Linked DNA regions of Mus musculus. The protein of the gene in region 1 binds, or shares a complex with, the protein of each later gene. Links are inferred from orthologs where the notes say so. Each region holds a gene or a part of one and is shown in the gene's direction. Other genes may lie near its edges.

Evidence for each region.
Region 2: the proteins of Timm10 (region 1) and Timm9 are in contact, whole or in part, in a crystal structure (PDB 2BSK), measured with the Homo sapiens proteins. The link is inferred for Mus musculus from reciprocal best matches to the Homo sapiens genes TIMM10 and TIMM9. Residues at the interface, in NP_036588.1 of Homo sapiens: Glu16, Met17, Asp20, Met21, Arg24, Ala28, Cys29, Lys32, Cys50, Arg53, Cys54, Ser56, Lys57, Tyr58, Asp60, Ile61, His62, Arg64, Met65, Gly66, Lys68, Leu69, Leu72; in NP_001291414.1 of Homo sapiens: Lys15, Leu18, Gly19, Tyr21, Asn22, Lys23, Thr25, Glu26, Cys28, Phe29, Leu30, Val33, Asp35, Phe36, Thr37, Thr38, Arg39, Glu40, Val41, Glu45, Thr46, Glu50, Leu53, Leu57.

Annotation. Positions count from the first base shown.
Region 1 is NC_000068.7:84,825,527-84,829,275, forward strand, and holds the start of Timm10 (mitochondrial import inner membrane translocase subunit Tim10), read left to right. Parts: upstream 1-1,494; 5' UTR 1,495-1,621; intron 1,622-2,072; 5' UTR 2,073-2,116; coding exon 2,117-2,187; intron 2,188-3,749.
Region 2 is NC_000078.6:71,134,127-71,137,875, reverse strand, and holds the start of Timm9 (mitochondrial import inner membrane translocase subunit Tim9), read left to right. Parts: upstream 1-1,200; 5' UTR 1,201-1,321; intron 1,322-2,902; exon of another isoform or gene 2,903-2,917; intron 2,918-3,749. Other genes in the region: 2700049A03Rik (protein TALPID3), read right to left, coding at 1-36. UniProt on the Homo sapiens protein: Mitochondrial intermembrane chaperone that participates in the import and insertion of multi-pass transmembrane proteins into the mitochondrial inner membrane.

The DNA of each region.
Region 1 (3,749 bases):
GTGCAGGGTCTTATAAGCTATTGAGAAGACTTTGGCTTTCTCCATGATGAGAAACTACTGCAGCATCTAGGGGGTGAGTGACATGATCCAGTTGTAGGGTTTTTTTTTGTTTGTTTGTTTGTTTGTTTGTTTTTTACATCACTCTGGTTGCTGCGAGAATCAGTTGTCCTTTGACCTCCTTTGATCCTACCATGGGCTCCTCCTCCTCCTTCTTCAATATATTTATTTTCTGTATCTATGAGTACACTGTAGCTCTGACACACCAGAAGAGGCACTGGATTCCATTACAGATGGTTGTGAGTCACCTTGTGGTTGCTGGGAATTGAACTCAAGACCTCTGGAACAGCAGTCAGTACTCTTAGCCACTGAGCCATCTCTCCAGCCCAAGGACACATGTTCTTATAAATAAATTTAAATTTAAAAATAGTATATCAAATGACCTGTGTAGTTCAGTTGTGGAGGGTTTGCATGAGACCCTGGATTCAACCTTCAGCACTGTGGAAGAGAGATGAAAAAAACATCACTATTAGCTGAGAATGTGAAAATAGCACTTTGGGAAAAAGACTTCATCTGCTAAAGATAATAGATCAAGAAAATGTGACTAAATAGTAAGAATTATTAAATCTTGGGGATAGATTCAATGACGTTCATTAGACTGTGTTCTGTGTTGTGAATTTGCCCTAATAAAATTTTAAAGGGATAAACCCAATGCTTTTTATTATTACATTTATTTATTTACTTACTTTATTTATTGTGCATGTGTAGGGCTATAATAAAGAAGTGCAGTAAAACATGTTGCAGCACTGGGGCAGTTGATAGAGTGCTTGCCTAAGCATGTGGTCCTGTTTTCATCCCAACATTGCAAAAGTCAGGCATAATGGCGCTTATCTGTAGCCGAAGCACTAGTGAGGTGGAGGCAGGTTCGTAAGTTCTAGGTCATCTTCGGCTACACCGCAAATTAGAGAGCAGCCTAGGTTCCATGGGACCCTGCCTCAAAAGCAAATAAAGACAATCTCTATACATGTTTCTTTTTTTCTGCGAGCAGCGATCGTGTATCTTCTCTGCAACTCCACTAGTTAATGTTGCACACTGCTCCCCGGGATTCTGATTTCAGGGGTATGAGGTAACGTCTGGGCGCTGAGGTGTTTTTTTTTTTTTTTTTTTTTTTTTTTTAAAGTGCTCCAGGTGTTTTAACATGCAAAATTGACAGGCTCCTTTGGGAAACGTTCTCCTTTCTTCACATAAGATCCGTCTGCGCTCTGGCGTGGGCTCTCCATGGTGGGTTCAGGGAGCCAAGCTTCTTCCACACTGCAAACGCTCAGGCGTCTCCCGGACAACCGGAGGGATGGAATGCTAACAAGGCTGCCGGCGCTCTGCCACTCACTCAGCATTCTATGGTACTTTGGAGTCCACTCTAGCAAATTAAGGTCGGTTTCTCTATGGTAGCCGGTTTCCCAGCGCAGCCTGGTCGGCGTTTTCTTCCGGATCAAAGAAGAGGCTAGACTTCCTTCCGGAAGTGACCCACGTGCTTCTTATTTCGCCTGCCTTGGTACCCGGTAACTTTTTACTATTGACCCGAAGTTGGGGACGTTGCGGGAGCTGTGACCTGCCCCAGGCCGTGGTGAGTGGGCCGTGGTGTCTGATACCCAGGGTAACCCTGATTCCTGATTATGCCATTGCCGTGACAGAGGCTCAGCCTTTAGACCCACCCCGGGAACCTAGGCTGTGGTTAGGGTCACATTCTCGGGGCTGCATGGGTTCAGACCCACGGTTTTGTGTGTTCCGTCCCAACTGTCAATCCTCTGGCTCTAGGAGTGATCTCGAGGTACTAAGAGGGCTCGGTTTCCATCCCCGAGCCCCATGACATCGCGAGTGACCTTGAGCTGGACACTGTCCTCTTTAAGGGCCTCATCTCCACTTCTGTTAAGAGGGCTGATTACGTTTACTGAGCGGGGTATTGGTCCCCGCTGGTCTGAAACACTGTAATTCCTCGCGCCCTCCAGCCCCCCCGGGGGGGTGGTACTAGGGTGAACCGGGAGGGATCGATGCTGACTGATCATGTCCGCTCCTAGGACTAAAGACCAGGAGGCTATTCTCTCCACGGTGCTAAGTTGACATGGATCCGCTCAGAGCCCAGCAGCTGGCTGCGGAGCTGGAGGTGGAGATGATGGCTGACATGTACAACAGGTAAAGAGAAGCACTCGGCTTCACCTTGTCTAGGAAAACTCGCCCTAGTCACCCCTAGCCCGACAGAGTGAAGCACTTGTAACGAATGCTTTCGATAAGGTAGTGGAGCCAAGTCCCGCCCTCCTAATCCCGCCCCACCCTCACCGCGTGCTTCGCTGAAGTAAATACAGGTCACTGGAAGGACTTGGTTGGCTATTTGGAGGGAATAAAAGGGGTGTATGATGGAGAATCTCCTGCCCAGGCTCTGCTGAGTATCAAGAACATATAAGCACTTTCTCTTCTCTTCTCTTCTCTTCTCTTCTCTTCTCTTCTCTTCTCTTCTCTTCTCTTCTCTTCTCTTCTCTTCTCTTCTCTCCTCGTTTCCATCTTTCTTTCTCCTTAGATAGCCCATTTACCCTTGTTTATGTAGTTTATGTATTTTGTGTTTGTTTATGAATGCCAACATGCATGCCATAGCGCCACACATGTGGAGGTCAGAGGGCAGCTTAATAGGATCTCATCTTGGATTGAACTCAAATCTTCTGGTTTGGCAGCAAGTGCCTTTGCCGCCTAAGCCTTCTGAACAGCCATTTAGTAATGAATAGTATTTAGTTGCTAATATTTATTAATGTTTTTCTTCCTTTTTGGGGGGGATGGAGTGGATGTTGTTTTGTTCTTGTTTTTCACGATGGGGCTTCTCTGTGTTGCCTTGGTTGTCAGCTTAATCTGTATAGACCAGGCTGGCCTCACTCTCAGAGATCCACCTGTCTCATTCTCTTGGGTGCTGGGATTAAAGGTGTGCACACTCGGCCTAAATTATACTTTAACTCTGTGTTAGGCATTTGCAAAGCATTTTATATATATTATCACTTTAAATTTATTTATTTGTTTGTTTACTTGTTTTCTGTGTATGGATGTTTTGCTTGCATGCCCGCAGAGGCCAGTAGAGGGCATCATATCTCCAGGAACTGGAGTCAAAGATAGTTGTGGGCTACCGTGTGGGTGCTGGGAACCTAACCTAGGTCCTCTGCAAGAGCAGTCAGTTCTCTTAACCACTTTCCAGGCCCCCATTATCAGTTTTGTAAATAGTTAAAAATAATTCAAAGGGAGAAGGGGATATAATAACGTAGGATTTTTGTCTAGAATGCAGGATGCCCTTGGTTTGATCTTGACATGGTGCCTATAATTTCAGCAGTTAGAGGCCAGAGACTAAATAGTTCAGGATCATTCTTGGCTATATAGTGGGTTCAAAACCAGCCTGGGATAGATGAGACCAGTCTCAAAAGAAAGAAAGGGAAGAAAGAAAGAAAATCAGTGGGTTAATTTTATTAGTACTATTTTAACACAGGGGAATTGAGGTGTCAAGGGGTTTAATAATCTCAGGGGCTGTAGCTGGTCAGTAGCAATGTCAGGACCAGAACTTCAGCCTGACTTCAAACTACTGCTTGTAGCCGTTTGGAAACATCTTGCTGCACCATCAGCAGCTGAGTGTCTTTAGGCTGAATGTCATAACTGGTTACTCATCAGTAAAACTGACCTAAGAAGCACTGCTCCCTCCATAAAGACATTGCAATATTAAACTG
Region 2 (3,749 bases), on another chromosome or scaffold:
TTGCCCCCTTTCCAGGCTAAACTCAACGTTTTTCATCTGGTTAGTCACAAATCAAGTCCCGCCGTTCTTAACAGAGGGAATTCTAGCTTCTCAAAACTTAAGGACGCAGTTTCTCCTTGAGTACCAGGAAAAGAAGTAATGGTGGAAGTGAATTTGAAAAACACCTGAGTTCCAAAAATAATTATGAAGCAGTCATTAACTTAGAAAGTCTATAGGCAAAATATCCATAAAGCTGTAAATTTCGATTTTGACATTTAATCCAGGGCTAAATACGACAAAAACAAAAAACAAAACAAAACAAAAAGTCTTGATCCCACTGAGTCTGTTAATGCATCGAAGAAATAAATTTCAAAGGAATTATGCCAAGAGCAAAAGAGAAGCCACGGGAACCGTAATAAAAACGCACTCCTCCAAACCCAGAGCTGCAGCTGAAAACCCCAACAGACGTGGAGGCGGGGTTAGGATTTGTTAAGGAGACCCAGACGAGCAGGCAACGTTAAAATCGTGTTTTTTAAAACACCACCCTCATAAGAGCTTAGTAGATTTCTTTCTACGAGTCAGGACGCAATTTCGGACACCTCAACTTAGTCTTCAGAGTCTCCACAGAGTCCGGCACACACGCCGTCTTGATTTTGATAGAATAACAGCTTCGGTTGTTCGCGGGTCAATACCGTCTTCCCCGAAAACCCGCCCTTGAGCGTCAGCACGCATGCGCGCAAAGATCCAACCCCCCCCCCCCCGACCGGAACGGGAGTGCTCTGGTGCTCTTCCATTCGTGTCCGGGTGGAAACAAACTCCCAACATAAAAGACTGCCAGGAGATGTGACTTTTTTTTTTTAAAGGCAGAATATCGCCTTTATGTTTGGACACAGTACTAAGTATTCCTAGAGGAATGGCGAATTCTCGATTAGCCCATAAACACTTTTGTTTATCAAGGGTTATTTACACTGTAGGAACTGCAGACCGTTAGAAACCTAGTAGGTTAAGCATATTAGGCTTTCTAGAAATTTCGACAGATTCCGTTGCCGTGGAAAAGGAAGTGAAAAGTACAGAGAGCACTGACGAACAGATAATCACAAAAGTTAATTCTTAGATGATTTTTAGAATTTGCTTGGGCACTTGCTTTTCTTCCTACATTTTCCCACGTGGTAACGAATCTGCGTCTAAGGGTCTGAAGCCATGCTTGACATCACTGCCCCCACGTGTTCTCAGCTTTCCGCGGCGCGGCGCTCGCTCTGTACTGACCCTCCGAGCTCACACGCTACCTGCCCCGCAGCTCTTCAGCCCGGTCCCGGTGTCAGAGGCGAGATCCTGTGGCTAAGTATGGTCCCTTTCCTCTGCTTTCATAATCCCGGGTTCGCGGCCAGTGGGGTGACAGCCTTCACTCGGGAAAGGGAGCGGGCAGGTACCCCGGAGGGAGACGCCGCGTGCACGCGGGTCGTGGGGCTGCGCAACCGGCAGCGCGGCGCAGCGGGAGGCCAGCCGTGTCCCGGAGGCCTTGTCACCCCGAGGGTGGGGACCCTAGGCCCCGAGACACCGCCCACCCGGGACTGGATCGCTTGGGGGCACGCTTTGAGATTACAAGGTAGCCAGCCACTCGATGACCTTGAGCTGTCAGACAGGAGCCCCTTTACTGAAAATCTAGACTTCCTCGGCTCTTACCCTGTCTGCACACTATGCCTTATGTCATTAGGTACAAGGGCTCGCACCCTTCCCAGGTCTCATATTGGAGAACGCACTGCTTAGAGCTTTCCCATTACGCCTTGCTAGAAGCTTTTAAAATGTATTTTTTTAAAGTATAATAGATTAATCATTTTTCTACCTATTACATTTTCTCTTGTTGTAGATTTATCTGTTGGTTCATGATTTGTTGTATAAGTGTATTAAAAGACCGAATGGCAATGTCAGAGCTGCAAGAGACCTTAGGGATGAATTAACTTCTGTAATTTCTATATAAAAGTTAGATATGAAAAAAAATGACCTTTCCCCTCTAATTTCAAAACGCTGAGCAACTGCAACAGCAATCAGTAAAGTGACCTGAGTAAATAATTTGTAACGAATGTCAGACCTGGGACTCCACCCCCCAAGTAGCGTGGTTCTCATCTTCCTTGAGGCTAGACTTTGAATCGGGAAACAATAGGAATTCATTTTCAAGTGCTTTTAGCTATGATTAACACTGAGTTAATTAAGAGTTGCCTGTAATGCTGGGTGTAGTGGCAGCCTTTAGGCCTAGCTACAAAGAGCTCCAAGACAGCTGGGGCTACATAGAGAAACCCTGTCGAAAGAGATAGAGAGAGAGAGAAAGAAAGAGAGAAAGACAAAAAAAAAAAAAAAAAAACAACCTTGTCTGTTCATCCCACAACCTAACTAAACCTGCAAATAATCTAAAGGATCATGTGAAAAATAATAAGATAATAAAATAAAAAAATTTCTATTAAGTATTTGAACTCTCAAAATAAACACTGACTTATAGCCTCTGAACAAAAAATAGTTTAGGGGATTATTATTCTTTTTGTCAACATTTTTTTAACTATGTTTCTCCCCCCCACCTCATTTTCACATCAAGTTCCCCTCACCCTTCCCTAAATACATCTGTAGATACACTTTGTTTCACTGAAGCATTTGTAAATAAGTTTCAGACATCATGAGCTTGAGCCCTAATTGTTGCAGCCTGTGCCTCCTAAAGGGCATTACAGTCTGCAAAGATTATCACACTTAGATGACATTTAGATTTTCTTAATTATCTAAAAATTGCCTTTATTGTTACGAGAGTGGCCAGCTGCCTTATGTCATTAAAAGGCCAGGTCCCACAGCTGGAAGTGGTCTGTCTGTCTCTCTTTCCCTCCCTTCCCTCCTCCTCTGCTGAGAGCCTGGAACTCAGAGATCTGAATGCCTCTCCCAGGTGCTGGGATTAAAGGTATGAGCCACCACACGTGCTTGTATGCATGTGTGTATATGTATCATGTGACTGCCTGGTGCTTGACGAGGCCAGAGAGGAGTTGCAGACCCTTGCTTGGAACTGCTCCTGCCAGCTGTGAGCTGTGTATACTGGGAACCTAACTTGCTGCAAGAGCAATGAGTACTCTTTTGTTGTTTTGCTTGTTTGAGGGGTACTTGGTTGGTTTATTTATTGAGGCAGGGATTCTCTGTGCAGTTCTGCCTGTCTTGAGCTAGCTCGGCTGTAGATCAGACTGGCCTCAAACTGAGAGATCTGCCTGCCTCTCCCTCCAGAGTGTTGGGATGAAAGGTGTGCGCTAACTGCCTGGCTACGAGTACTCTTACCACTGAGCATCTCTCTAGCTCCTCATCTTATTTTTGAAAACTAGTCTAGTTTTCTTAGCTATTCTACACTATGGGTTTTCCTAATTATTCCTTCATGACCAGAAAAAGAGCCAATATTTTTAGACCAGAATGCCACTAAAGTAATGGTGTGTGCCCTAGAGCGTCGCAGCGGGGAATTTTTCCTAGTGGTAGCATTGGACCTTGTGTGATGCTAGATTGACCCATTTAATTATGGTGGTAACTGTCTATGTTAACAATGAGAGGAACAGATTCTTCATAAATAACCTAGAGAGGTGCTTGAAGACGGTGGTATCTCTTGTTTCCTAGCATATCCCTATAGTTCTATCCATTGAAAGGCTTTGACAAAACCTCAAGGTTTCGAATCACATTACCAGTTATGCAGGGACTAAGAACAATTGTAGTACCTAACAATATTAGAAGAATCACTTCTTATAAATTGAATTTAA